Linked DNA regions of Stegostoma tigrinum. The protein of the gene in region 2 purifies or fractionates together with the protein of the main gene of each other region. This does not show direct contact. Links are inferred from orthologs where the notes say so. Each region holds a gene or a part of one and is shown on either strand. Other genes may lie near its edges. The genes, in order: exosc10, exosc9, mphosph6 and dis3l.

Evidence for each region.
Region 1: the proteins of exosc9 (region 2) and exosc10 purify together in Homo sapiens (co-immunoprecipitation; 7 studies listed by BioGRID and IntAct, with this or other methods). This does not show direct contact. The link is inferred for Stegostoma tigrinum from reciprocal best matches to the Homo sapiens genes EXOSC9 and EXOSC10.
Region 3: the proteins of exosc9 (region 2) and mphosph6 purify together in Homo sapiens (affinity purification with mass spectrometry; 5 studies listed by BioGRID and IntAct, with this or other methods). This does not show direct contact. The link is inferred for Stegostoma tigrinum from reciprocal best matches to the Homo sapiens genes EXOSC9 and MPHOSPH6.
Region 4: the proteins of exosc9 (region 2) and dis3l purify together in Homo sapiens (affinity purification with mass spectrometry; 3 studies listed by BioGRID and IntAct, with this or other methods). This does not show direct contact. The link is inferred for Stegostoma tigrinum from reciprocal best matches to the Homo sapiens genes EXOSC9 and DIS3L.

What each region holds. Positions count from the first base shown.
Region 1 is NC_081381.1:39,422,230-39,429,863, forward strand, and holds the start of exosc10 (exosome component 10), read left to right. Parts: upstream 1-4,620; 5' UTR 4,621-4,643; coding exon 4,644-4,748; intron 4,749-7,634. UniProt on the Homo sapiens protein: Catalytic component of the RNA exosome complex which has 3'->5' exoribonuclease activity and participates in a multitude of cellular RNA processing and degradation events.
Region 2 is NC_081354.1:36,852,831-36,860,421, reverse strand, and holds the start of exosc9 (exosome complex component RRP45), read left to right. Parts: upstream 1-4,577; 5' UTR 4,578-4,879; coding exon 4,880-4,945; intron 4,946-7,591. UniProt on the Homo sapiens protein: Non-catalytic component of the RNA exosome complex which has 3'->5' exoribonuclease activity and participates in a multitude of cellular RNA processing and degradation events.
Region 3 is NC_081369.1:46,663,137-46,670,925, reverse strand, and holds the start of mphosph6 (M-phase phosphoprotein 6), read left to right. Parts: upstream 1-4,780; 5' UTR 4,781-4,916; coding exon 4,917-4,967; intron 4,968-7,789. UniProt on the Homo sapiens protein: RNA-binding protein that associates with the RNA exosome complex. Involved in the 3'-processing of the 7S pre-RNA to the mature 5.8S rRNA and play a role in recruiting the RNA exosome complex to pre-rRNA; this function may include C1D.
Region 4 is NC_081386.1:34,950,601-34,957,891, reverse strand, and holds the start of dis3l (DIS3-like exonuclease 1), read left to right. Parts: upstream 1-4,286; 5' UTR 4,287-4,416; coding exon 4,417-4,576; exon of another isoform or gene 4,577-5,021; intron 5,022-5,462; coding exon 5,463-5,616; intron 5,617-7,291. UniProt on the Homo sapiens protein: Catalytic component of the RNA exosome complex which has 3'->5' exoribonuclease activity and participates in a multitude of cellular RNA processing and degradation events.

The DNA.
Region 1 (7,634 bases), on a different chromosome or scaffold from region 2:
TGTAGATGACTCCACAAGTGAATGATTCGAAAATTTATTAAAATGCAGGATTCCAACTCAGGTGCCACGGAAACGACAGAACCAGCAAGCATGTAAAACAAAATGGAAAGTAATTTAACATACAGCAGGTCACAAAATATTTGTAAAGGAAATGTTGATATTTCAGGCTCAGCCAAACATCAGATCCATTGATGGGCAAAAACCTGTATAAAAAATGTGATAGTAGTAAATAAAGCTTGCATTCATTTAGAGACTTTCATGGCCTCGGAAAGCCACAAGATGCCCAATGAGATCTCAGGGTTCAAGTGCATAGATTTTGAAAATACTCTGAACAGGTGCAGAAAATAGTCAAGAAGCCTTATCCAAGACGGCAGTGGAGCAGGGCTCCTGAGCCGCAGCTCGTCAGCTCCGACTGCTTCTCTTTCTTCCTTTCTCACATTTTCCTTTTTATAGTTTTTTTTTCTTTACTTACCTTCTGGAGGGAGCTTGGTCATGGAGGGAGCAGCAGCATTGGCAGCTGTTGGGAGGCCTGAGTGGGTCTTTGGCAGTTGGCCAAGATGCGGTTGGCATGCCCAGGCAAAACTGTGGTGATTGGTGGCATCGCGGAAGCAGCTGCGGTCCCAGAGAAGCACCGAAGTGGGACACTGGTGACCTGTGACGTGGATGACAACTTGGAGGCATGGGATTGAGAGACTGAGCCCTTGCAGGGAACACCCAGCATGGAGTGACTGCAGGCCCCTGGCTAAAGAAGGATTGTAAATTGAACTTTTAACTTTATTTTTTATTTACTACTTTATACTGACAAGAACTGTAATGTTGAATTTTTAACTTAATTCTTTATTTTTCTACTTTTTACCTAAAATTTTGTAGCTAGGCACCCTGTACCTAAGGTGGCACTGTGAATGTCTCACTGTACTCCTGTTTCCCTGTACTTGAGTACATGTGATGATAATATCTAATTCTATTGGAATGCTGGCTTTCAGATCTAAAGTGCTGGAGTATAGAGATGACAACGTTATGCTGTAGTTAGAACCCACTTACACTACTGTGAACTGATCTGGGGACTACACCTTAGGAAGGATGTTTTGGTCCTTGAGAGAACTCAATGCAGGTTTATAAGGATGATATCCGAACTTCAGGGAGTAAGTTGCAAGGACAGAAATTAGATTCTCTGGAATTTAGATGGTTAAAAGATGATCTAATCAGATATTAACTAGGAAAAGCAGGGTAGACAAAGACAAACTATTTCCAATGATGGGAGATTCTAGAATTAAGGGTTATAGCCTAAAAATTAGGAGGTGTTAGAAAATACTTTGGTGTGGGCAAATCACCACAAATTTCCCTTAATTCAGCTACTTTAAGAAATCTAACAGACAATCAAGTACCGAAACAATGATTTAAACGTTGTTCCACACAGTAACCAAAACAACCTGCCTAAAGTAAGCAAATTAAACCTCACAACTCTTGGCTATTACCTGATTAATGGTGGAATTTAGCTACAATCCAACCAACAATGTCTGTCTCTGGAAGCAGCCAGGGTTCGATGCTTGTGCAGTGTTGTCCTTTGAAGTTCTGCTGATAAATAGTTCTGGTGTTAGATTCTTATACAGATTCTCATCCTTCAGGACCACGATGTAATAGTATTGATGATTCTTTCATCCAAAGTATTACAAATCTGCAGCCTGTGTTATTATCAAAAGTAGCTTCCCCATTCCATGTTACATTTGGTATTAATTTTCAGGTTGAAGACACAGCTTTCCTGTATATAACTCATTAAATTCTTCTGCAATGCAATCAGTTCTCCGTAAGGTTTGACTCAGCCATTCATCATGCAATTGACAAAACAGTTTTGTTTATGTAACTTCAACTCCTCTCACAGACATGGCTAATTGCTTTCAAAACTGTACAAGTTTGGTGGAGCATCCCCCAGTGGAGAGCAGCAAGATGCTGGGCGGAGACATCTTGATGCATCATCCCGCAGTGGAAGCTCTTAACCCGGGTCCCCCACCAAATATTATATTTCACAAGCTTCAAAATATCCTCTCCCCCGACCACATGCCAAAACCAGCCCAACTAGTCCCCACCTCCCTAACCATTCCTCCCACCTCAAGCCCCACCCCATCCCCTACCCACTAACCTCATCCCGCCCCCTGACCTGCCCGTCCTCCCTGGACTGACCTATCCCCCCCCAACTCCCCACCTACATTCACCTTCACTGGCTCTAACCCCGTCTCTTTGACCTGTCTGTTTCCTCTCACCCTATCTTCTCCTTTATCAATCTTCTATCCGCCTCCCCCCGTCTCCCTATTTATTTCAGAGTCCCCTTCCCCTCCCCCATTTCTGAAGAAGGGTCCTGACCTGAAACGTCAAGCTTTCCTGTTCCTCTGATGCTGCTTGGCCCGCTGTGTTCAGCCAGCTTCACATCGTGTTAGCTCTGATTCTCCAGCATCAGCAGTTCCTACTATCTCTGTGACAAGTTTTTTCTTCATTTCAGTTTATTTCAGACACCATTATTGCTGCTTCTTTCCATGTATAATTAATCTTTGTTGATTCTTTCAATCCACGAATAGTTATTAAAGTTCTCAAGGTTGATTTGAATTATTAGTCAACTGTGCAAAGGTACAGTGAAAAGTATTGTTTTGCATTGCTAACCAGACTAATGCCTTACATAAGTACATCATGGTATTAGAACAGAATGCATAATATAGTGTTACTGTTACAGAGAAAGTGCAGAGAAAGATCACCTGTAATATATGAGAGATTAGTTCATAAGTCTGTTAACAATAGGGAAAAAGGTTTCAAACTTCTGTATTTTCTACCCAATAGAAGAGCATGGAAGAGAGAATAAATCACTGTTGGGGAGTGTCTCTAATTATTTTGGCTGCTTTCCCAAAACAGCGGGAAGTGTGGATGGACTCAATGAATGGAAGGCTGGTTTTCATGATGGACTGGACCGCAATTACAACCCTGTTTTTTTTGCGGCCTTGGGCAGAGCAGTTGCCATGTCAACCTATGATGAGTCCAGATAGAATGCTTTCTATGGTGCATCTATAAAAATTGGTAAGTCATTAATGGACATGCAGAATTTCCTTAGCCTTCTGAGGAACTAGAGGCATTGGTGTGCTTTCTTGACTGAGGCAATGACGTGGATGGACCAGGACAGATTATTTGTGATATTCACTCCTGGGAACTTGAAACTCTTGACCACCTCCACCTCAGTACTATTAACACAGACAGGGATGTGTCCTCTGCTGTGCTTCCTAAAGTCAATGGCCAACTCCTTGGTTTTACTGCTATTGAAGCAGAAAATGTTGTATTTACACCAGATCACTAAGCTGTCTATCACTTGTCTGTACTGTCTCAGCATTGAGATCTGACCCGTGAGGGTGATGTCATCAGCAAGTTTGTAAACAAAGTGAGAGCTGTTTATGATATCACAACTTCAACATGCGAGGGTTCGTGGAGGTTTGGAACTCTCTGCCCAAAACAGTGGTTAATGCTAATTCAATTGTAAATTTAAATCTGAAACTATTTTTTTCAAGTAAGGGTAATGAGGAAATATGGGCGCAAGCCGAGTAGTTGAGTTAGGGCACATGCCAGCCATAATCTTATTGAATGATGGAGCAGGCTTGGAGCCTGACTGGCCTACTCCTGTTCCTACGTTCACCATATCAGATTCTTTGGATTGTTAGCCAAGGAATAGGTTTTGCTGCTCAGATCACTCACGAGAGCTTCTAGCTCCACTTACAACACTAGCATTGCAGGTTTCAAGAACCTCACATTCAGAAGACAGCATCTCCAATAATCAAAGAATCATTACAGTGTGGAACAGGCCCTTCAGCCAAACAAGTCCACACCAACCCTTGGAGCATCCCAACCAGACACATCCCCCTAAAAACCCATCTAATCTACAAATCTCTGAACACTATGGGGCAATTTAGCATGGCCAATCCACCTAGCCTGCACGTCTTTGGACTGTGAGAGGAACCGGAGCGCCCGGAGGAAACCCACCCAGACACCGGCAGAATGTGCGAACTCTGCAACGACAGCCACCTGAGGGTGGAATCGAACCCGGGTCCCTGGCGCTGTGAGGCAGCGGTGCTAACCACTGAGCCACTGTGCTGCCCCAAACGCAGCACTGCCACGGAACAGTGAGCACCAGGGAAATGTGATCAGGGAATGGGTCAGCACGCACAGGGGCCAGGCTGGAGACCACATTCTTTCCGATCAGGCTGTTTGGAGCTGCGTGAACACAGCAGTCCCAGCAGCATCAGAGGAGCAGGAAAGCTGATCTGGACCCTTTTTCCTCTGTTTGAGAGACATTATTTACACACCTCTGGAGAAGGACAGACTTGAGCTTCTTGGCTCAGATGTGGGAACACTACCACCATGGCACAGGCACATTGCACCAGGGCTCTCCAACACGCGCCTCCTCAGTCAGCGCGGGATTGTCCTCCACGTGACGCGCCGACACCACGTGACGCGCCAGTCTGCGCCCGCCCACGTATTGTCCCCACGTGCCAGCCGCCAGCCGGGGCGGCTCAGTCCCTTCCGCTGGGGGGCGTGGTTAGGCATTTCCCGAGCCTCGCGAGAGTCTCTCCCTCTCCGTCCCACCCCTGCGCGAGAGTTTGTCAGTCGGCAAAATGGCGGCGCAGGGCTGTGCGGAGGAGCATCAGGATCCGGGAGAGAGGCCTCTCAACGGTGACGGCCCCATCCCGGGATTTAGTGACGCGGATAGCTTCGTGAAGGTTGGCGCTGTTGTATGCGGGTGCTGGGGGCGGGATCCCTGTCTCTTCTCCTTCCTTCGTGTGTTCTTCAACACGGAGGAGACATCATCAGCCCAGGGAGGGCGATGGGAGGCCGTCATTAAGATGTGTTCTCTCTCTTGCTGGATCTGTTGCCACGAGACATCATGTGCCTTCACTTCTTCGCCCCCCCCGACTGTATGCACTGTGCTGCCGTCCGACCAGGAGAGCACAACAGGGATGGTCATGAGCGATACATAAATGAAACGTGTAGAGCTGGATGAACACATCAGGCCAAGCAGCATCAGAGGAGCAGGAAAGCTGCTGTTTCTGGTCTGGGCCCTTCTTCAGAAATGACACCTTGTTATCTCAGACTCTCCAGCATCTGCAGTTCCTACTATCTCTGATCAGGCAGCAGCTCAAGATTGGGACGTGACTTTGGCCGTTTCAATTTCTCTGCCCTCGAACCCCACTCCCCTCCCCCACCAAGAACTGACTGCAATTTGTGTTCTCCAATTCAGTCCTGACTTTGTAGTCTAGCCATTGTGGTGCTGCTGTTGTCTGGCATGCTGAGCACTAGCTCTCAGGTGCCTTCCTTCTCCCTCTGGACCATAAGTCTTCCATCCAACATTGGGCTATTGTATTCACAACAGTCATTAACCTTATAAACCAAAAAAAATTGTGGTTGCTGTAAATCAAGAATGAGAACAGAAGGTGCCAGAAAAGCACAGCAGGTCAGGCAGTGTCTGTGAAGCAAAGAATCAGAGTTGATGTTTTGGGTCCATTGACTCTTCCTCAGAACTGATGGTAGCTAGGTTAATGTCGGAGATAGGTTGGATTTGGTGAGGGAGGCAGAGAAATTGAGGTGTCAATATCACGTTGACAGTTCTCCAGGAACAGATCAAACTTAGGTAAAAGACCAGACTGGGCGAAGGGGAGAAGACGCTTGTCTAAAGAAATGGGCATGGAGGCGAAGATGGCAGAAGAAGAGTTTGACGTCATGTCGTGCCTCAAGTTTGTTAAGGTTGGGATACAGAGGAATAAAACTGAGGCCTTTGCTGTGTGCAGAGCATTTAGCATCGGAGATTGGAAGGTTAGGAGGAATGGTGAATACACCTACCTCCTCATACCTCTTTCCAAAAAACCACAAACTGGACTGTCTGGGCAGACCCCTTGTTTCAACCTGCTCCTGCCCTACAGAACTCATCTGTACCTACCTTGACCTAGTCTTCTCTCCCCAGGTTTAATCCCTGCCCACATACATCCATGATACCTCTGACACAGATATACCAACCAGTTCCCAGCTGCGTTCAGTTCTGAAGAAGGGTCATTGAACCGAAAATGTTAACTCTGCTTTCTCTCATCGATGCTGCCAGGACTGAGTTTTCCCAGCAATTTCTATTTTTGTTGTCAATAATTGTGCCGAGGTATAAACTAAATAATTTGTCCTTATCGAAATCGTTAACCCAAGTATTGATTGTCAAGCTGTCATCAGAAAACAGTGTTGGAATTTGTTTTTCAGTCACTTCTTTTTAGTGATTTCATCTAATTGAGCAATTGACTGGGTTAGTTCCAAGAGCAGTCAAGAAGCAACCATGTTTGTGGAATTGAAATTGCATGCAAATTATCCTCAGTAAACATAAACTCCCTTTATTTGTTCAATGGGCTGTGTGTGGTGTTAGTGTCTGGTTGAACTGCTGCACTCAGTGGAGGGGAGGAAGTTAATTACATGCTTAATGGTAGTCTTGCTTCTCTGTTACTGGGATTAGTTTTATATCCCCGATCTATCAATTGATTTTAAATCCACTTAAACCCAAGCCTATGTCTGTGTTTTTGGATTTCTACTCCGCTGATGTTATCATTACACCATCTCTGCCTCAAAGTGATGCCAGAAATACTTTGACTTACTGTAATTGTTTACATTATAAATTATATACAAAACAACAGAGATCATTTCTGACATTTAGTTTATTTCCAACTCCGAGTTCATTTTCTGCTTTTTGAGAGGCAATTGATTGTCATTTGAATCTGAGATCAACTTCCTTCTCATCACCCTATAATTAATAGTGTCTAGCTGAAACCGCTTTGATTTTGTTCTGCTTTATTTTCCACACACATACAAAATAGGAGCAGCATGGGGCCAAAGTGTGGAACTGGAGGAACACAGCAGACTAGGCAGCATCAGAGGAACATCTGAAGAAGGGTTCTGACCCCAAAAGTCAACTTTCCTGCTCATTTGATGCTGCCTGGCCTGCTGTGTTCCTCCAACTCCACATTTTGTTATCTCTGACTCCAGCATCTGCAGTTCTTGCTATTCCAGCAACGCAGTGCCATTTGGCACCTCAACCCTGCTGTCCATTTCAATAACATCATAGCTCATCTGTTTATGTTTTGAATCTGTTTTCCCACTTACTTCCACTAACTTTGAGTTCTTGTAAGGTAAGAAAATCAATCTGTCCCTGCCTTAAAGATATTCAGTGCTCCCACTTACACCAACTTCTGAGACAGAGTTCCAAGTTGTTAAACACTCAAGAGAACAAAATTCTTCTCGTCTGTCCGAAAAGGATAACTCATAATTTTTAAATTCATATCACCTAATTCTCAATTTTCCTACTAGAAGAAATATCATTTCAACATCGATTTTGTCAAGAATATTCACTACTTACCCTTCTAAATTCCAGTCAAAACAAGCCCAGCCTATCCTCATAAGACAACCCACTTCTACCAGGTATCAATCTAGTAAATCTTGCCAAACTACTTCCAGCAGATTTATATTACTCCTCAAATAAGAATACCAAAACGGCACATGGTTTTGAAAAAACAAGGTGTAGAGCTGGATGAACACAGCAGGCCAAGCAGGATCAGAGCAGCAGGAAAGCTGACATTTCA
Region 2 (7,591 bases):
TGGCTTTTCTTCTGCAGTGGCCATAGCGTCACAGATATCACCACCTTTGACAACCTAAAAGTTTAAATGAAGACCAGAATCTCGTCAGCACGATCACCGTTGCCTTTGCACATAGATTTCTCATATTCTTGATCCATTATGTGATAGTTGACATCCACCTCTAGTACTGTTGTACATACTGGCTTCCTGGGACTCTTGTGGTGCAGTGGTAATGTCCCTACCTCTGAGCAGGAAGGATCAGGTTTAAGTCCCACCTGCTCCAAACATCTGAACAAGTTAATAATAAAAAAAATCTAGAATTGGACCCGTGGAAATGTCATGATTGCCTCATTAAATTACAGAATTCCATGTCCAGGTTCAAGTGCCGCTGTCTCTCATTACAAGTCTTAACAGTTTGATTAAAAATATCAATACTCTGAAATCTTGGCTCCCTTTCTTCTGCAGCAATCCTATCAAGACCCTCAGACACAGCCTACAGCTCACCTTCATCAACACCTTAGATGTCCAGGGACAACATGGACCTGTCAGAGAAAAACATTCACATTCTATTCATCATATAACTGAACTCTGCTGCTGACAACATCACCTTAGCTTGAACTCACATCCAATTGACTATTGGGAAAGTATGGGCTTGGAAATCACTAAAAGCTACCTAGTACATTCTGCCTGTTCAGAAAGATTCTTTATGAATGACACATCACCCACAGAGCATTTGTGAGCACAACACATCTTCCCTTAAACAAACAAATCAAAATTTTAAAAATGATGCTGGCTCCTTCTGTGTTCTTATATGCAATATTTTGTGAATACTGATTATAGGCTACTCTCAAAAAGGATTCAAATTAGAAATAACTATTAATGTTAAAGTCAGATTCACCTCCAAAGAAGCTACAGTATACAACTTTGTAAAACGAGTTAAAAAAAAACTCATTTTTTGTGTCTTCAGTGCTCAAGTCGGAGTGATAGTTTTTAACAAGAAATTTTATGTACATACTGTGGCAGATCACCCCAATTTGTTTAGTTTAATGTGGCATTGTTTCACACATTTCTTGTACTACCTTCAAGCTAAGTTGCTTATTTTCTTGAATACTTTTGTTTTTCTGTTTCCAAGGATACAGTGATGTCTCACTTTTGCTTCACTCAGAAGCCTATTTAGATCTTCATCTGTGAGATTATGAGTCCTTTGCTTCTGGAACACCCATTATACTGACATTTTCTGCATGCAAGTAGCTAAGTAACATACAATTGTTATGTAACATAAAGTGTAAAAGAAAACAAAACAATTTTAAAACCTGCGTAGTTCAGGAATGCCAGAAAACTTTGAAACAGTCGGCTAACTGATGAAACTTGGGATGCTTGTGGGTAAACATATGGCAGATGCAACATAACGTGGATAAATGTGAAGTTATACACTTTGGTGTGAGAATACACAGGCAGAATTTTATTTCAGTGATGACATTGGGAAATGTGGATGTACAAAGGGATCTGGGTGTCCTTGTACCAGTGAAAATAAACAGGCAGGTGTAGCAAGCAAGCAATTAGGAAAGCAAGTGATATATTCATTTTAAGAGAACTTGAGTTCAGAAGTAGTTGTCTTACTGCAGTCATGCAGGGACTTGATGAAATGACATCTGGAGTATTGTAGTATCAGAGATAATGGGAACTGCAGATGCTGGAGATTCCAAGATAATAAAATGTGAGGCTGGATGAACACAGCAGGCCAAGCAGCATCTCAGGAGCACAAAAGCTGACGTTTCGGGCCTAGACCCTTCATCAGAGAGGGGGATGGGGGGAGGGAACTGGAATAAATAGGGAGAGAGGGGCGGTCCGCCTCCCCCTCTCTCCCTATTTATTCCAGTTCCCTCCCCCCATCCCCCTCTCTGATGAAGGGTCTAGGCCCGAAACGTCAGCTTTTGTGCTCCTGAGATGCTGCTTGGCCTGCTGTGTTCATCCAGCCTCACATTTTATTATCTGGAGTATTGTATGCAGTTTTGGTCTCCCTACCTAGGAAAAGGTACATTTGCCAGGGATGGAGTGCAGCAAATGTCCACTTAACTGATACCCATGTTGGCTGGACTGTTATATGAGTTGAGATTGATTCAACAGAACCCATGTTCGCTACAGTTTAGAAGAATGAGAGGGGATCCAATTGAAATGTATAAAATTCTGTCAGGGAGGACTGATTAGACTGAAGGAGGATGTTTACTGTGGCTGGGGATCAATCTCAGGACCAGGGGTAGATCCTTTTTGGACTGACATTGAGGAAACATTTCTTCACTAAAGAGTGGTGAACCTGTGGAATTTGCTATCACAGAAGGCTGTAAATGCCAGGTCACTGAGTATATTCAAGGAGATTTTTTTTATATATTAAAGGCATAAAGGGGTATGTAGAGAAAGCAGGAATTTGTGGTTAAGATAGACAATCAAGCCATGAATGGTAGAATAGGCTGAAAGGACTGAATAGTCTACTCTTTCTCCTAGTTTCTATATTGCTATTTTCAACCTTTATAGACTTTCCCAGTCACAAGGGGCATGTGCTTCAGTTCTTCTGCACTGCCTATAAATCTTTACTACAGGGTTTATCCTAGGCTCACTCATGAAACTGGGACAAGAAATATAGTCTCTGGGGGCACTGAGTTCTTTTTTGATTGCACAATTAAAATAGACTCACCACTGACTGGCAGATCTGGAGAGAATAAAGCTGAACGAGCTGCCAGATATTAGCAATGGATACAAACATGACATTGACATACCCTGCCCAATCAATCTGTCAAGCACTCCTCATTAACTCAGGAACTCTGTCAAAATTGGGAAAGCTGTCCGCACAGACTAATCAAGCATTATGCAGTCATTCTCATACTCCAAAGTGTGGTCTCACCAAAGCCCGATAGTAAGCCTAATCAACCTGTTTGGATAAGTTATGACACTCCATCCAGGCAGGTGGTATTTGAACCTAGATTTGGCCAGAGGTAGAGACACTGACACTGTCACAAGAGCCCTCACCAAGGCTTGATATTATTGCAGTTAGACATTGTTACTCTTATATTCAATTCCTCTTCTAATAAAGGCCAAAATTACCATTTTTCTTCTCAGTTGCTTGTTATACCAGCATGTTAACTTTCAGTGATTCATGAACAAGGACAGATCCTTCTGAAGTTCAATGCTTCCCAACTTCTGACCTTTGAAGATATATTCTGCGTTTTAGTTTTCTACCAAATTGGATTGCTCTTGGAGGCCTGCCTGCTTGCTTACCTTACTCCATGCTGTAGTGTGGTACCCTCAAATTAAACATAACTAATTGTTGCACTCGAATGAAAAGCAATGAAAAGGCTCCTTTGTGGAGTATGACTTCATACCCATACCAAATCGTATAACTTCAAATTTCTCTACATTATATTCCATCCACTGAATTTTTGATCACTCAATTGGCCTCTTTAAATCCCCCTGAAGCGCATCTTCATTATAAGTCATCTTCAGACTTGGAAATATTACATTTAATCCACAGATCCAAAATCATGAATATTTCTTATAAATAGCTGGGGCCAAATACTAATCCTTGCAGTACCTCACTGCTCACAATGTGCCAACACAAAAATGAGCGTTTCTAATCTGTTTTCTGTCTTAATCAGTTCACAATGCATGTCTGTATTTGTCCCCTATATCATGCGCTCTAATTTTGTTTACACCTCCTGTGTGAGACTTTATTGAAAGCCTTCCAGAAATTTAAATAGACAATAAATACCAGTACCCCTTTATCTATTCTGACAGCTACATATTGAAGAAGCTCCAACTAGTTTGGCAACAATGATGTACCTTTCATAAATCCATGCTGACTCTGCCCAGTCTAACCATTACATTTTAACTGTCTTGTTATCGTATTCTTTATTACAGATTTTAGCATTTTCCTTAATACTGATGCTGTTGAGCTAACAGGTTCCCCACATTCTATCTCCTTCCTTTCTTGAATTGTAGGGTTACATATGGCAACTTCAAATCTGCAGCATTGATTCTAGAGTCTCAGAATTTTGAAAGATGACCACAAATCATCTACTACTTTTACAGTCACCTCTTTCAACTGTCTGTGATATAGATCATCTGAACCTGGGCATACCTACATTTGAAATTCCATTAAGTTCTCTATTTTTCTTTTTAATGTGATAGTAATATCTTGTAGTACATCATTTACACAAACCCCTAGATTCATCATTACTTCTAGGAGGATTTTAACATTTTCCTCCATGAAAATGTACCCAAAAGATTTGTGTAGTTTATGTAAGAACTTTTTCATAGAATCCCAACAGTGTGGAAACAGGCCCTGACCACTGTCTCATGTCCAGCTCCTGCTCACTGTTCTATTCCCATTTCCTGCTCCTGCTCATCATTCTATTCACAATTCAATCTTGCTACTGCATTCCAAGCACCTGCACACTTCCATTCCCAGCTGCTGTTCAGTGTCCCATTCCCCAACTCCTGCCCACTGTACCATTCCAAGCCCCTGCCCTGAACTCGACCAAACTTAATGACACTTTTCTAGCACACGCCCACTTTTCTAAAAGCACCTCCTGGTCGTTACTGCTATGCCCAGCGTCTCAATCGCAGCTCCTGCTCGCTGCTCCAACCCTATCTTTGGTCATGATCCATATCCAGCTCCTGATCACTATCCCAGCCCTAGCTCTTGCATAGCTCCATACTAAGCTTTCCTGATCACTATCCCGGCCGAACTCCTGATCACTGCTCCAGTGATGTCCGTGGACAGCGACTCGTCACTTTCGCGCTGAGAGGCTCGGACGCGTCTTGGTTTTGAGTCGCAGGTTGATGATGTCATGGCAGCGCCGGAATCTCTAAATCTGTAAAGTCTCGAGGTAGTGGCCGTTTCGAAATGAGGGAGATTCCGTTATCAAATTGTGAGAGACAATTTATTCTTCAGGCTCTCGCCGAGAAACAGGTATTAAACGAGCGAGGATCCAGTTTTTAAATCTCAGCCCAATGTGCTGAGCATCAGTTTTTGTTGACGTCGGACACTTGAGTCTGTTTTAGGGCCCTGTTTTGGGGAGTGGGGGATGTGGTGCGGTGTGCCGGTGCCGGGGTGTTCCATTGTGAGGTAGTAGGACCTCGTCTGCACAGGCATGTACCAATACACAGTGAAGGAGTGGAGATGAAATGGGATGTTGTGTTGGCATGAGCATTGGGCTGTATAGCGAGTTTTGAGAAGATTTGTAGCTCAGGTTGAGGTTCTGGATGTGAGTTTGCTCGCTGAGCTGGAAGGTTAGTTTTAGACGTTTCGTCACTTTTTTTTAAAATTTGAAAAAATATACTTTATTCATAAGATGTACAAAAAAATAAAACCTATTTATACACCTACCCAGTCATGCAAGCCGCTCCGGTTTACCCAGGGGGTACGTACACCAACTAAAGGCAAAAAACAAAACAAAGAAAAAAAAAGCAAAGAAAATAGCCTGGCAGTCACCTCCCTGCGCAGTCCCCGTTGGCCCCTGACCAGTTGGGGAAGGTGCCAGCTGGGCCCAGTTACCAGATAGGGCCCTTTTTTCTATTCTGGATGAGGGGTCTCATATGGTGGTCTTTCCCCACTGCGCCTTGGCGGCGGCTGCCCCAAGCTTTAGCGCGTCCCTCAGCACGTAGTCCTGGACCTTGGAGTGCGCCAGCCTGCAACACTCAGTCGGGGTCAGTTCTTCCAGCTGGCAGACCAGCAAGTTGCGGGCAGACCAAAGAGCGTCTTTCACCGCATTGATGGTCCTCCAGGCGCAGTTGATGTTGGTCTCGGTGTGCGTCCCGGGAAACAGCCCGTAGAGCACGGAGTCCCGCGTCACGGAGCTGCTCGGGACGAACCTCGACAAATACCACTGCATCCCCCTGCAGACCTCCTGCGCATAGGCACACTCCAGAAGGAGGTGATCGACAGTCTCGTCCCCCCCACAGCCACCTCGAGGGCAGCGTGCGGTGGCGCAGAGATTCCGGGCATGCATAAAGGATCTCACTGGCAGAGCCCCTCTCACCGCCAGCCAAGCAACGTCCTTGTGCTTGTTTGAAAGTTCTGGCGATGAGGCATTCTGCATTGGGAACCACACGACGGGATCCACCCTCTCCTTTTCCTGAAGGGTCTCGAGGACACTACGTGCTGACCACTGCCTGACGGCCTTGTGGTCAAAGGTGTTTCCCTTCAAAAATTTCTCCACGAAGGACAGGTGGTACGGGACGGTCCAACTACTCGGAGCATACCGCGGCTACGAGGCCAGGCCCATCCTTCGCAACACCGGGGACAGGTAGAACCTCAGTAAGTAGTGACACTTGGTGTTTGCGTACTGAGGATCTATGCACAGCTTGATGCAGCCGCACACAAAGGTAGCCGTCAGAGCGAGGGTGGCGTTTGGGACGCCCTTTCCCCTGTTTTCCAGGTCTTTGTACATGGTGTCCCTGCCGACCTGGTCCATCCTCGACCCTCAAACGAAGTGGAAGATGGCCCGGGTGACCGCAGTGGCGCAGGTCCAGGGAATAGGCCAGGCCTGCGCCACATACAACAGTACCGAAAGACCCTCACACCTGACAACCAGGTTCTTACCCGCGATGGAGAGGGACCGGAGCATCCACCTGCCCAGCTTCTGCTTCAATTTGGTGGTACGCTCCTCCCAAGTCTTAGTGCACGCCCCAGCTCCACCAGACCAAACACCCAGCACCTTCAGGTAGTCTGTCCTGACGGTGAAGGGGATGAAGGAGCAGTCGTCCCAGTTCCCGAAGAACATGACCTCGCTCTTACCCCTATTGACTTTGGCAGCCGAGGCCAGTTCAAACTGGCCGCAGATGTCCAACAGTCTACTCACCGACCGACGATCGGTGCAGAAGACGGCGACATCGTCTATGTACAGGGAGGTCTTGATCTGAAGGCCTCCGCTGCCTGGGATAGTCACGCCCTTCAGGCTCACGTCCTTCCTGATGGATGCGCGAAGGGCTCCACACAGCACACGAACGAGGCAGGAGAGAGCGGGCAGCCCTGCCTGACTCCAGATCTGACGGGAAAACTGTCCGATTCCCACCCGTTGATCGAGACTGCGCTAACGATGTTGGTGTAGAGCAGCCGGATCTAATTGCGGATGCCCTGCCCGAACCCCAATTTGGAGACGCCGCGACCAGGTATACCTCCGCTGCGCTCCGTCTGCAGGGGTGCTGAAGACGTCGACCAGCTTGGCGTCCTTCACCGTGTCCATCAGGAATCGTGACGTCCAGTTGACTCCCCCCACCCGCTGTCCCCATGCCGGATCTTCCATCTGCATCGATGATGCAGTTGAAGTCTCCGCCCAGGATGACCGGCCTGGACGTAGCCAGCAGGGGTGGAAGCCGCTGCAGGACGGCCAACCGCTCACTCCGTACCGCTGGGACGTACACATTGATCAGCCTCAGGGGAGCGTTCCTGTAGGTGACGTCAGCCACTAGGAGGCCCCCCCCCCCCACCACCACCACCACCACCACCACCACCTCCTGAACTTGAGAGATGCTATCCCGGTGGCTAGCTTTTTAGAATTAGAGTGAGGGCAGGACTGGTTCGAATGCAAGGAGAAGTATGTGGCTATAGCCCTCC
Region 3 (7,789 bases), on a different chromosome or scaffold from region 2:
CATAGTGTGGAATATTACATGGTGAAATTTGTGACAGAATCAGAGGCTTGTCTCGATGTCAGCAGCATCTTGCTGCATCTTTTGTGTATCAAGGCAAGTTTTATACTAAGACAGTGGCAAGTTTCCAGTTAAGGGGGTTGTTGCTTTTCAAATGCCTTGTTCATGACCCAACTCACCTCAACTAGCTTCCTAGCACTGCAAATGTGCTGAACAAGCTAGACATTAAGAAATCTTAACATGGGCTTTGGAGCAGGTACTTGGTGATTTCAGCTCACTGTTGCTCCATGCCTCCAGGTTGCTTAGCACCAAATGGCATCTCAGGGGATGGTCCATGGGTTCCAGTCACATGCATCCCTTATCCATGGACATTGGCATTGGACATTTGCCAACTCTTTGTGTTCATCATGGCGCCTCTCCAATCCACTTGTCGGCTGCTTGGAACATACAACATAGAACATAGAACATAGAAAAGTACAGCACAGTACAGGCCCTTCGGCCCACGATGTTGTGCCATGGAATAATCCTAATCCAAAATAAAATAACCTAACCTACATTCCCCTCAATTCACTGCTGTCCACGTGCATGTCCAGCAGTCGCTTAAATGTCACTAATGACTCCGCTTCCACGACTACCACTGGTAAACTATTCCATGCGCTCACAACTGTCTGCGTGAAGAACCTCCCTCTGACATCTCCTCTATACCTTCCCCCTAACACCTTAAAACTATGACCCCTCGTGGCAGTCAATCCTGCCCTGAGGAAAAGTCTCTGGCTACTGACTCTATCCATTCCTCTCATTACCTTGTACACCTCGATCAGGTCACCTCTCCTCCTCCTTCTCTCTAGAGAGAAAAGTCCGAGCTCAGTCAACCTCTCCCGTAAGACAAGCCCTCCAGTCCAGGCAGAATCCTGGTAAACCTCCTTTGCACCCTCTCCAAAGCCTCCACATCTTTCCTATAATAGGGCGACCAGAACTGGACACAATATTCCAAGTGTGGTCTCAACAGGATTTTGTAGAGCTGCAGCATAACCTCGCGGCTCTTGAACTCGATCCCCCTGTTACTGAAAGCCAAAACACCATCTGCTTTCTTAACAGCCTTATCCACCTGGGTGGCAACTTTGAGGGAGCTATGCACTTGAACACCAAGATCCCGCTGTTCCTCCACACTGCCGAGAATCCTGCCGTTAATCCTATATTCAGCATTTAAGTTTGACCTTCCAAAATGCATCACTTCGCATTTATCCGGGTTGAGCTTCATCTGCCATTTCTCAGCCCAGCACTGCATACTGTCAATGTCTCGCTGAAGACTGCAATAGGCCTCAATACTATCAACGGCACCTCCAACCTTTGTGTCATCAGCAAACATACTAACCCACCCCTCAACCTTCTCATCCAAGTTATTTATAAAAACTACAAAGAGTAGAGGCCCAAGAACAGAGCCTTGTGGGACACCACTCAGCACTGACCTCCAAGCAGAATACTTACCATCTACAACCACTCTCTGCCTCCTGTCAGCCAACCAATTCTGAATCCAGACAGCCAAATTGCCCTGTATCCCATACCTCCTGACGTTATGAATGAGCCTGCCGTGGGGAACCTTATCAAATGCCTTGCTGAAGTCCATGTACACCACATCCACTGCTCGACCCTCGTCAACCTGTCTCGTGACTTCCTCAAAGAACTCAATAAGATTTGTAAGGCATGACCTGCCCCTCACAAAGCCATGCTGACTTCCTTTAATCATGCTATGCTTTTCCAAATAGTCATAAATCCTAACCCTCAGAATTCTTTCCAAAACCTTGCTGACCACAGACATAAGACTGACTGGACTGTAATTTCCAGGGATTTCCCTATTCCCTTTCTTGAAAAGAGGAACAACATTTGCCTCCCTCTAATCTTCCGGTACGACTCCCGTGGAGAGTGAGGAAGCAAAGATCTTCGCCAGCGGCTTAGCAACCTCCCTTCTCGCTACCCGGAGAAACCTAAGATAAATCTGGTCTGGCCCTGGGGACTTATCAATCTTAATGTTTGCCAAAATTTCCAGCACATCAACTTCCTCAATCTTGATCTGTTCAAGCCTGTTTTCCTGCTCCTCAAAGTTCTCATTCACAACAAGGTCCCTTTCCTTAGTGAAAACCGAAGCAAAAAACTCATTTAGGGCTTCCCCTATCTGCTCAGACTCCACGCACAAGTTCCCTACGCTATCCCTGATCGGCCCTACCTTCTCCCTGATCATTCTCTTATTCCTCACGTATGAGTAAAATGCCTTCGGGTTCTCCCTAATCCTTCCTGCCAAACCTTTATCGTGCCCCCTCCTGGCACTCCTCAGTCCACTTTTGAGCTCCTTCCAAGCAAGCCTGTTATCCTCTAGGAAGCACAGACTTGCTGCGGGGTGCACTGGGCAACTAACATTGAAACACTGCTGCAAGAACTTTTTGTGTACACACACAGGCAATCGACTCATGGAGTGGACTACACTGTATCTCAGGGCTGCTCTTTTGCTTGTAGTATTCACTCATTTAGCAGGTACCTGCATGCTAACAACACCCATACCTTGCTTGGCCCTCAGTTGTCTTGCCATATCAATTAGCGCAGTCATTCTACCAGGCAGCTTGTCTTGCTGGTCAGCAAGGGTGCTTACTTACTTGCTTAAATCAAAGTTGCAGCATGCCAAGAGATTCCATTACTCTGACAAGGGAAGGGGAAACTGATATCACATGTATCGCCAATCCTTGTGCACTTTCAGTGTCAGTGGCAAGTGCCCCTGGTTCATTACCAACTGCAGAATATTGATCAATGTGTACAACAATATATGATGCCATGGTGCAATTAAATGTAGATTTGCTGTGGGAGTTGCTGAATGGAGATACCCCTTCCTTCCTAGAAAAAAAAGTCAGAGATATTGCTCAGCTAGTCTCATACCCTCCTTGGCAACAAGTTGTTCATTTTAAAGATGCATTGATAAAAGCTTTATAATGGCCAATGTTGCATACAGAAAGCTGCAAGCTAAAGTCATTGTGCCAATCAAGCTCACTCCTTTAGGATTACGGACAGTTGTTCTTTCATGGATTTACTTCTCTCATAACCAAACATTAATTTTCAAAAGCAATGTCCCTTGAATAGTGTAGTTAAATCTTTTTAGACCCTTCTCAACAATATCAATCAGGCTCCTTTCAAAATTTTCCATAAATATATATTCTTAGAGTTTATTTTGCTCTTAAATGATAAGCTGCAGTGCCTACACCTGCTCCTTTTTTGTGGGGGTGCGGGATTTTTTTTGTAGTCTCTAATCTTTTGTACTTTTTTTCCATTTTCCATGCTGGTCTGATTATTTCCATCTCAATCAATCACATTCACTGTCTTATTTCATACAACAGTTGGGTACAATAGGAGTATAATCTGGAAAGTAATAGAAGTTATGATGAAGGATTAGCACCCTTTTGGGTCTACCAATCATCAAACAGTTACAATAATGTTTTAAACATACAGGTTATAAGAGAGAAAAACAGAAATTTCTGGAGAAACTCAGCAGGTGTGGCAGCAAATCTTTCCCCTCTCACTTTAAACCTATGCCCTCTAGTTTTGGACTCTCCCACCCTTGGGAAAAGATCCTGTCGATTTACCCTAGCCATGCCCCTCATGATTTTATATGCCGCTTAAGGTCACCCCTCAGCCCCTGATGCTCCATGGAAAATAACCCCAGTCTATTCAGCCTCTCCCTATAGCTCAAACCTTCCAACTCTAGTAACATCTTTGTAAATCTTTTCTGAACCCTTTCAAGTTTTACAACATCCTTCCTATGGTAGGGAGACCAGAATTGAATGCAGTATTGCAAAAGTGGCCTAATCGATGTCCTCTACAGCCACAACATGACCTCCCAACTTCTATACTCAATGGACTGACCAATAAAGGCAAGTACACCAAACGCCTTCTTTATTATCCTACCCACCTGTGACCTCACTTTCAAGGAATTATGGAGAGAGAAGCAGAATGACTGTTTCCAATCCAGTGACCCTTCTTCAGAACTGAACACAAAAACAAATGCTGGAGATTACCGTGGGTCAGGAAGCATCCATGGAGAGAGAATATATAATGTTTTGAATCTTCAATAGAGCTGACTGAAGTGTGGAGGGGGCAGGATTTATGCATTGGTTGGGGGTGGGAGTTGGCGTGTAGGGCGCTGGGGGAGAAAAGATGTTGATAGTTCAGATTAAGTGATCAGGATGTGAGAATGGCAGAACAATAATGTGTCCAACTGCCAGATTGGGGGGAACAGTCAGTCCCACTGGGGTGGGGGTGGGGGCAGGGGAGAGAGGACATGATGATAAGGTGAGTGATAATGGGAACTGCAGATGCTGGAGAATCCAAGATAACAAAGATAACAATTCTCTGATGAAGGGTCTCGGCCCGAAACGTCAGCTTTTGTGCTCCTGAGATGCTGCTTGGCCGGCTGTGTTCATCCAGCTCCACACTTTGTTATGATGATATGGTGACCCTTCTTCAGAACTTGCCCAGCAATTTCTGCCCTTGTTTCAGATTTCAAGCATTTTATTTCAGATTCTAGGGAGTATGTCTTCTGTTTGCGGATAAGAAAAAGAGGCAGCTGACAAAAATACTCAGGACAATTTACTTTGCTCTGTCAGCTCCGCTGTCTCTGAGCTGGATGGTGAGCCATCCTGTGCGAAGATCTTGCAGCAGTTGGACAGCTCCGCATCCTGCTTCCGGCCATTGATTAGCCAGGCTGCAGCGGCTGGGACTCGTCCGATCGATTGGTCGCGTCCGTTGTCAACGTGTTGCCCGGGACGGAGGAAGCGCCGGCGAATCTGGTGTGTGGTGTCTATTTCGCTTTTTGCGTTTCTTCGATTCCTCCTCCAAACAATCAAGAAAAAGATAAACAAAAAAAAACACACACAAAAATGGCGAGAGAGAGCGCTATGAAATTATCGAAAAACCTGCTGAAAATGAAGGTAAGTTTGAACTCCCGAGGCCTACTCGTGGGTTTTCTGAAACCTTCTTTTCTGAAGAAGGGTCCAGGCCCGAAACTTTCTGAGGAAGGGTCACCGCGTTAATTCTGATTTTTATTTTTCCTTCACAGATGCTGCCTGAGCTTTTCCAGCAACTTCTGTTCTTTGTTCCGAAACTTTCCTGCTCCTTTGCTGCTGCCTAGCCTGCTGTGTTCATCCAGCTCCACACTGTGTTACCTTTGACTCCAGCATCGGCAGTACTTACTATCTCCAACTCGTAATTTTCGCGTCTCGATGTTGGACTGTAGGCCCCGGGCAATGGCGGCAGCAACAGGAGGAGCAGTGGAGGTTGATTAATTCACTCGTGGTATTACCTCCTTTCCCCTCCTGCACACACCAGCAGTTTTGATTGGCAGGAAATCTTAATGTTGACAACTGCTGGACCAAAAAGTTTACTTTCTCAAAACGTAGAGTTGCATTTTTCTCTCACGCTGACTTCTTGACGTTGTCACCTGCTTGATGCCCCCATTATCATTTCAGGTTATTTATAGAACACCTCCAATGTGGAAATAAGCCATTCGGCCCACTAAGTCCACGCCGACCTTTGGAAGAGCTTCCCACCAAGATCCACCACCACCCTCCTACCTTTTGCCTGTAACCCTGTATTTCCCATGGCTAATGGGGTAAAACTTCTGTTTCAGCTGTTCAAAGCCTTATTCAGACTGTGTTTGGAAGATTGGGAACAGTTTTGCGAACAGTCCAGGCAACAGGCAGTCAAGAGGAACCTAGCCGAACTCGTCCTCACCCTCAACAACTTCTCTTTCGATTCCTCCCACCACCTACAGACAAAGGGGGTGGCCATGGGTACCCGCATGGGCCCAAGCTCTGCCTGCCTCTTTGGAGGTTACATGGAACAGTCCCTCTTCCACACCTACACAGACCCCAAACCCCACCTCTTCCTCCGTTACATTGATGACTGTATCGGTGCCACCTCTTGCTCCCCAGAGGAGCTCGAACAGTTCATCCTCGTCACCAACACCTTCCACCCCAACCTCAAGTTCACCTGGGCCATCTCCAACACATCCCTCACGTTCCTGGACCTCTTAGTCTCCATCTCAGGTAACCAGCTAGAAACTGATGTCCATTTCAAGCCCACTGACTCCTACAGCTACCTAGAATACACCTCCTCCCACCCACCCTACTGCAAAAATTCCATCCCCATTTCCCAATTCCTCCACCTCCGCCGCATCTGCTCCCAGGATGAGGCATTCCACTCCCGCACATCCCAGATGTCCACGTTCTTCCAGGACCGCAACTTTCCCCCCGCAGTGGTTGAGAACGCCCTTGACCGTACCTCCCGCATTTCCCGCAACACATCCCTCACACCCCTCCCCCGCCACAACCGCCCAAAGAGGATCCCCCTCGTTCTCACATACCACCCCACCAACCTCCAGATACAACGCATCATCCTCTGACACTTCCGCCATCTACAATCCAACCCCACCACCCAAGCCATTTTTCCATCCCCACCCTTGTCTGCCTTCCAGAGAGATCACTCTCTCCGCGACTCCCTTGTCCGCTCCACACTGCCCTCCAAACCCACCACACCCGGCATCTTTCCCTGCAACCGCAGGAAGTGCTACACTTGCCCCCACACCTCCTCCCTCACCCCTATCCCAGGCCTCAAGATGTCCTTCCATATCAAGCAGAGGTTCACCTGCACATCTGCCAATGTGGTATATTGCATCCATTGTACCCGGTGTGGCTCCCTCTACATTGTGGAAACCAAGCGGAGGCTAGGGGACCACTTTGCAGAACACCTCCGCTCGGTTCGCAACAAACAACTGCACCTCCCAGTCGCGAACCATTTTAACTCCCCCTCCCATTCCTCAGACGACATGTCCGTTATGGGCCTCCTGCAGTGCCACAATGATGCCACCCGAAGGTTGCAGGAACAGCAACTCATATTCAGCTTGGGAATCCTGCAGCCCAATGGTGTCAATGTGGACTTTACAAGCTTCAAAATCTCCCCTTCCTCCACTACATCCCAAAACCAGCCCAGTTCTTCCCCTCCCCCCACTGCATCCCAAAACCAGCCCAGCCTGTCTCCGCTTCCCTAACCTGTTCTTCCTCTCACCCATCCCTTCCTCCAAACTCAAGCCACACCTCCATTTCCTACCTACCACCTCATCCCGCCTCCTTGACCTGTCCGTCTTTCCTGGACTGACCTATCCCCTCCCTACCTCCTCACTTATACTCTCCTCTTCACCTATCTTCTTTTCTCTCCATCTTCAGTCCACCTCCCCCTCTCTACCTATTTATTCCAGTTCCCTCTCCCCATCCCCCTCTCTGATGAAGGGTCTAGGCCCGAAATGTCAGGTTTTGTGTTACTGAGATGCTGCTTGGCCTGCTATGTTCGTCCAGCTCCACACTTTGTTATCAGGCAATCAAGAGGGTTGTTTACTCTGCCTATCTTCCAAGGTTACGTCCACGCCTGAGTGTCCCTTGAGATGGAGCAAGAGTACAATAATGTACATGAGGCCTTCTGCAACCAATGCATACTTAAGGCAGGGGTTAGACAGCATCATTGACACTGACAAAGTTATTTTAATTTCATAAGTTCCCTATAAAGTTTTTGTTACAGTTAGGTGATAGTGCCCCATATGTCAAGCTCCAGTAAGTAGTCTGATAAATCTTTTTTGCCCTCCTTGCGGTCAAGAGAATAGCAAGAGGTCAAGATGGAACACTCACTTGACATTTCTGCCTGAAGAAGTTGCACATGCTTTTGTTTTGTTGTTTGCTCTGAAATTTTGAGCTCTATCATC
Region 4 (7,291 bases), on a different chromosome or scaffold from region 2:
CATGTACCATGCACATGTTACTTTCTGAAGAAGTTATATCCATTTCAATGGATTTGCTTGATCTTCAACGAAAGGTGCACAATTCCGAACCAGCAGCGCCCTCAGTCGTTTATGATTTGAAATTAAAGGGAACCATTCAGCCCTGAAAGTGTCCAGCACGTCCATCAATCATCACTTCACAGAGAAAGAAAGGTTATCTGTGTGGTCAGGATCATCAAGAAAATTAACCTTTCCTTCTGGCTCAGATGCTGATCGATTTGCTGCATGTGATCTGCCAGACAAAATCGACGCTAATTTACCTAACAAAGAAAACTAACCATTCATAGGGCAACATTTCGGGAGCCCCAGTTATTTCACAACATGAATGAGCGGACTGCTGTGGTGTTTTCTTGCACCTGCAAGTATAGTTAGCGCATCTGCCCCTTTTGTTTTGCTCCATTAAAGATGTGGAGAAAGAACCATGACAGCTTAGGGTTAGTACAAATTATTTTTAAAGAAAGATTGACGATTTTTAGAAGTTTAGAAGCAACGTACACATTTTTATTGGGATGGGAGATATGTGCTGGCAGTTCCACGACACCAAGGTTTTGTTTTTCAGAATGTGAGGGATGCAGGTCGTTAATGCTGGGAAACAATTCTCTTTGATGTCAATTTTACATCAAGCATCATGAAATGGTCCAAATTCTGAGTAAAGCTCTACTTAATTCAAGAAAAAGAAACCGTGCCTTCAATTAAACCAATCTTTGTACGTTTGAATATTTCAGTTCATTGCTTTCTACTGTATTTTCTAGTAAGATTGAGCCATAAGCTTTTGATGTAAGACAACAAAGTGTGGAGTTGGATGAACCCAGCAGGTCAAGCAGCATCTCAGGAGCACAAAAGCTGACGTTTCGGGCTTAGACCCTTCATCAGAAAAGGGGGATGGGGAGAGGGTTCTGGAATAAATAGGGACAGAAGGGGAGGTGGACTGAAGATGGAGAGAAAAAGAGATAGGTGGAGAGGAGAGAATAGGTAGGCAAGGGGTAGGTCAGTCCAGGGAAGACGGGCAGGTCAAGGAAGTGGGATGAGGTTAGTAGGTAGGAAATGGAGGTGCGGCTTGCGGTGGGAGGAAGGGATAGGTGAGAGGAAGAACAGGTTAGGGAGGTGGGGATAAGTTGGGCTGGTTTTGGGTTGCAGTGGGGGGAGGAGACAAGCTGGGCTGGTTTTGGGATGCAGTGGGGGAAGGGGAGATTTTGAAGCTGGTGAAGTCCACATTGATACCATTGGGCTGCAGGGTTCCCAAGCAGAATATGAGTTGCTGTTCCTGCAACCTTCGGGTGGCATCATTGTGGCACTGCAGGAGGCTCATGATGGACATGTCGTCTAAGGAATGGGAGAAGGAGATAAAATGGTTTGTGACTGGGAGGTGCAGTTGTTTATTGCGAACTGAGTGGAGGTGTTCTGCAAAGCGGTCCCCAAGCCTCCACTTGGTTTCCCCAATGTAGAGGAAGCCACACCGGGAACAGTGGATACAGTATACCACATTGGCAGATGTGCAGGTGAACCTCTGCTTAATATGGAAAGTCATCTTGGGGCCTGGGATGGTGGTGAGGGAGGAGGTGTGGGGGCAAGTGTAGCACTTCCTGCGGTTGCAGGGGAAGGTGTCGGGTGTGGTGGTGTTGGAGGGGAGTGTGGAGCGAACAAGGGAGTCACAGAGAGGGTGGTCTCTCCGGAAGGCAGACTAAACCAAGCAGAGGCTTGGGGACCGCTTTGCAGAACACCTCAGCTCGGTTCACAATAAACAACTGCACCTCCCAGTCACGAACCGTTTTATCTCCTTCTCCCATTCTTTAGATGGCATGTCCATCATGGGCCTCCTGCAGTGCCACAATGATGCCACCTGAAGGTTGCAGGAACAGCAACTCATATTCTGCTTGGGAACCCTGCAGCCCAATGGTATCAATGTGGACTTCACAAGCTTCAAAATCTCCCCTTCCCCCACTGCATCCCAAAACCAGCCCAGCTCGTCCCCTCTGCCCACTGCATCCCAAAACCAGCCCAGCTTATCCCCACCTCCCTAACCTGTTCTTCCTCTCACCTATCCCTTCCTCCCACCTCAAGCCACACCTCCATTTCCTACCTACTAACCTCATCCCACCTCCTTGACCTGTCTGTCTTCCCTGGACTGACCTATCCCCTCCCTACCTATTCTCTCCTCTCCACCTATCTCCATTTCTCTCCATCTTCGGTCCACCTCCCCCTCTCTCCCTATTTATTCCAGAACCCTCTCCCCATCCCTCTTTTCTGATGAAGAGTCTAGGCCTGAAACGTCAGCTTTTGTGCTCCTGAGATGCTGCTTGACCTGCTGTGTTCATCCAGCTCCACACTTTGTTGTCCTGGTTTCTCCAGCACCTGCAGTCCCCATTATCTCTGATCACAGCTTTTGATGTAAGACTGGTACTGATGTGAAGATGTTTAAGGTGTTGTATGAGGTAAGCGTAGCGACATGATTTGGGAATCAAACTTGACCTGAATATCGAAAGTAACTGAAACCACCCAAGAGTAGCATTTCATGCCATGATTTACACTTAAGGCAGTTCAGCTTGTGTCTGTTATGAACTTGGAAATATAGGAACAGGAGTAGGCCATTCGGGCTGTTCTGTTCAATGAGATCATGGCTGCTGTATAGCTTAACTCCTTTTGGCCTTTGTCCCTTAATATCTTTGCTGAATAAAAATGCATCTAAAAATAACAATTGATCCACTGCAGTTTATGGAGGAGAGTTCCAAACCTCTACCATTCTTTGTGTGTGCAAGTGTTTTCCACCATCTCCCCTGAACGGTCTGGCCCTAATTCTCAGCCTATGTCCTCTGGTTCTCGAATCACTGACCAGGGCAATATCTTGACCTACCCTGTCTTTTCTAGTTAATATATTGAAGACTTCAATGGGATCACTCCTAATCTTCCAAATTCTGGAAAAAAAGGCCTAATTTGTCTAATCTTTCCTCATATAGTAGCCACTGGTCCAGGTTTCATTCTTGTATACCTATGTTGTACTCCCTCCAAGGCGAAGATATCCTTCCTCAGGTGTTGTGCGCAGATCTGCTCACAGTATTCCAACTGGGGTCGAACCAGTATAACAGCAACATAACTTCTGCCATCTTATTCTCCAGTCCGCTGGTTTTAAATGTTAGCATGCCGTTAGCTTTCTTCATTATTCTCTGTACGTGTTCATTGCGTTTTAAGCTCGGGTAAATGGAACTGTTTCAGTTTCGGAAACCCAGGCAGGGGGCGGACTAAAGGGTTTTTTTCGTGTTGTATGACTCTATGCACCCCAAGTCTCTTTGGACAGCCATTGTATTTAAATTAATAGCATCTAGAAAGTTCCAGTCCAAATTTGAAAAAGAAATTATAATCATTATTACATGAGAGGAACGCAATTTTTTCCCTTCTAAGAAACCGTAATCACCGAGAATGGAGGTCTGGAGATTCATGTAAGCACATATGCACAGAACTCCCTCAGTCACATAATTATTTAAGACTCGTACTAGGAGCATAAAGTATCCTAATGATATTACCTCTTTTGTTTATACATTCCACTTTTATTTAGATCTAATGTTATCTCTAGAATGATTCATGGATTTTCAACCAGTTTATTCGACATTTTTTACTGCAAATCTCCGAGTGGCATCTTCCTGCAGTAACATTGAATACCGTGTGAGAATCTTCGACATCTTCAAGGCTATGTATTGCGATCAAGAGATCAGTTTGCTACAAAGTCGAGAAACTCCCCGATATTCAGTGAGACCCAATTCTGAGCAGAGTTGCTAATGTAGGAAAGTACTTTCTCTAAAAAGGGAGTAATATAATCAAAAAGAAACAGACAGATCTGAAATTCGTTAAAGTGGGGTGATTTGTTTCATGTTAACAGTCAAGCACACAAACAGTAGGTTACCTTTACGTGGAGATAGCAGGAACTGCAGATGCTGGAGAATCTGAAATAACAAGGTGTAGAACTGGATGAGCACAGCGCCAAGCAGCATCAGAGAAGCAGGAAAGCTGACGTTTCGGGCCTAGACCTCTTTTCAGAAACGTCAGCCTTCCTGCTCCTCTGATGCAGCTTGGCCTGCTGTGTTCATCCTGCTCTACATCTTGTTACCTTTTATTTGGAAATGTGTAACACATTCAGATTGCAAGGAGCAGTTCAGTTTGCGCATGCGCTCCTAGTCCATCACTTTGCCCCGCAGTGCAACCCTTTGCCCCGCAGCACCGAATTACATTTCCGGTTCACACGCGGGGGAAGCTGTCAGGTTGAGGCGGGCGGAAAATGGGCGCTAGGAAGGCAGGAGGTGTTTGTTCGAGTTGTTTACATCCGCGGAGCGTGGTCTTCCTGGGGCTTGTCGGAGAATTGAGTTCGAGAAGAAAAGTAATCGCTTAATGGCTCCTCCGCTTGTTTACAACAGTGTAATGATAAAAACGGAGAAGGTGCTGCACCTGAGGAGCTGCAAAGGGAAATCAGTTCGAGTTGTGAGGGAGCATTACCTCAGGCAGTCGGTTCCCTGTAACAGTTCCCTGTGCCAGGCTGAGTGCTACAATGGTAAAGTATGGCCGAGCGGGTACAGTCATCTACAAAGCAGAACTCTCAACGATATTAAAACTCATGGAGAAAAGAAAATATTGCATTTATATCACATTTTTCTGGCGGTTTCAAAGTGTTTTATAACCAATGAAGTACTTAGAAATGTGGCCACTGATGTAGGAAACACAGCAGCCAATTTGCACTCAACAAGATCCCAAAACAGCAGTTCCTGTCCAGAAAATCTCTTCCCGATGTTGATTGAACATAGATATTGGCCACGATGGCAGGGAGAACTTCCCTGCTGTTCTGTGAAGTAGAGCTTGTGGGATCTTTTATATCCACCTGAAAGATGACACCTCTGACAGTGCAGCACTTTCTCAAGTACTGTACTGGGAGTGTCGGCCTGGATTGAGTAGTCGAGCTTCTGATGTGGGACTTGAACATACAACCTCCTGACTCAGAGGTGAGATAATGCTACCTATTGAACCACAGTTGACATTGTAAAAATTGAATAAAATAATACTCAAAAATATTCAGGATGAGGATAGAACTGAACTCCTAATATAGAAGGAATTTTATATATCTTTCATTTCCTGTGAACATCCCAAAGATATATACAATTGAATTAAGTTTGAAGTACAGTGAGTATGCAAGTAAATTCTCACTTAGAAATATCTCTCAGATGTAATTGGACAATCTGCAACTGAGGTTAGTTGAGGGAAAATACTGCCCAGGATATTGAGAGAGCTCCTTGTTTCTTCTAATAGTGCCATGGGATCTTTTATTTTCATATGAACATTGAAATAGTAACTAAATATCTCACCTGAATATCAGTGTTACTTTTGCAACTAACGTACTGTCTTTTATGCTACTTGCTTAATTCTGCGTTAACTTAATGTTTCAGAAGGGAAATTGTTGTCAGAAAGTGCAACTCATTATGTGATACCTGACTGGAAAGTGGTGCAGGATTATTTGGAGATACTTGAGTTTCCAGAATTGAGAGGCATTGTCTTCATGCAGACAGCTTGTCAGGCTGTCCAACACCAGAAGGGACGCAGGTTTGTGATGGCTATCTATCTTTAATATTTGATGGATTTAAAGATCACGCAAAGCACTGGTCAGTTACTGAATCAAACAGTTAAAGCTTGAGCACTATGATTATTTAACTATGGCCTGTGATTTGTAACTCATAATATTTGATCAAAAACAGAAGTTGCAGGAAAAGCTCAGCAGGTCTGGCAGCATCTGCAAAGAAAAGGCCAGAGCTTCTGTTTCTGACTTACAGTGTCTGCAGTTCTTTTGGTTTCTGTAATATTTGATTTTTATCTTGATTTTTAAAATTACTTGCAGTGAATAACAGCAGTTTGCAACAATACATATTTGGTGTAAAATCAGCATGTCTGTTGTCAATGGCCAACTGACTGAGGGCTGATATGGCCTGTGACAAACATGGTGCATTTGTTGACTAACTGTAGAAAGATCAACATTGTGTTCTTCCACTTCCAAATGCAATTTGAAGGTGAAGGCAACACCAGCAAACAGGTCAGAATGTGACAAGTTCCCAGTGAACTAAAAGCAGCAGGTTTTCAAGGGTGAAAGAAGTTCACAAAATGATAAAGGAAACAGCTGATATTTAGGTCCAAGGTATCGAGCTGGATGAACACAGCAGGCCAAGCAGCATCATAGGAGCAGCAGAGCTCCTATGATGCTGCTTGGCTTGCTGTGTTCATCCAGCTCTACACCTTGTTGTCTCAGATTCTCCAGCATCTGCAGTTCCTACTATCTCTGATATTTATGTCCTGAGGTTTATAGTTGGAGTGACCTCAAACCTCCCGGTAATTATAATGAAAACTAACTAACTATTACTTGAAGGCATTCTACCTTTGTACAGAATTATATAGATGCTGTTTTCTTGTTCTCATATGTGGTTAAGTATGTTGATGTTGTTATATCATCTGGCAAATCACAAACTCTCCTCCATAAACTGCAGTAGACCAATAAATGCTGTGATCGGAGGGGAAACTCTGGAGAATTCCTGTACAATATTTCTTTATTGATAAGCTCGTGGAAGGATCCTAGGTGCATGACTACTGTTTTGCAGTGCTTTAAATTTATGGAGCTATAGAGTTATACAGCACAGAAACAGATACCTTGGATCAACTTGTCTGTGCCAACCAGATATCCTAAACTGATCTAATTCCATTTGCTAACATTTGGCCCATATCCCTCTAAACACTTGCAATTCATGTACCCATCCATATGCCTTGTAAATGTTGTTATTGTACTCAACTCACCCACCTCCTCTGGCAGCACATTTCATACACGCACCACCCTATGAGTGAAAAAGTTGCCCCTTGGATCCCTTTTGCATCTTTCCTCTCTCACTTTAAACCTATGTCCTCAATTTTGGACTCCCTTACCCTGGGAAAAAGACCTTGGCCTTTCACCCTATCCATGCCCCTCATGATTTTATAAACCTCTATAAAGTCACTTCTCAGCCTCCAGCGGTACAGAGGAAAATACTCCAGCCTATTCAGCTTCACCTTATAGCTCCAACCCTCCAATCCCAGCAACATCCTTACAAATCTTTTTTGAACCTTATCAAATTTAACAACATCTTTCCTATAACAGGAAGACCAGAATTGAATGCAATATTCTGAAAGTGGCCTCACCAATATCCTGTACAGCTGCACCATGATGTACACGAATGCTGTACTCAGTGCATGGCCAAAG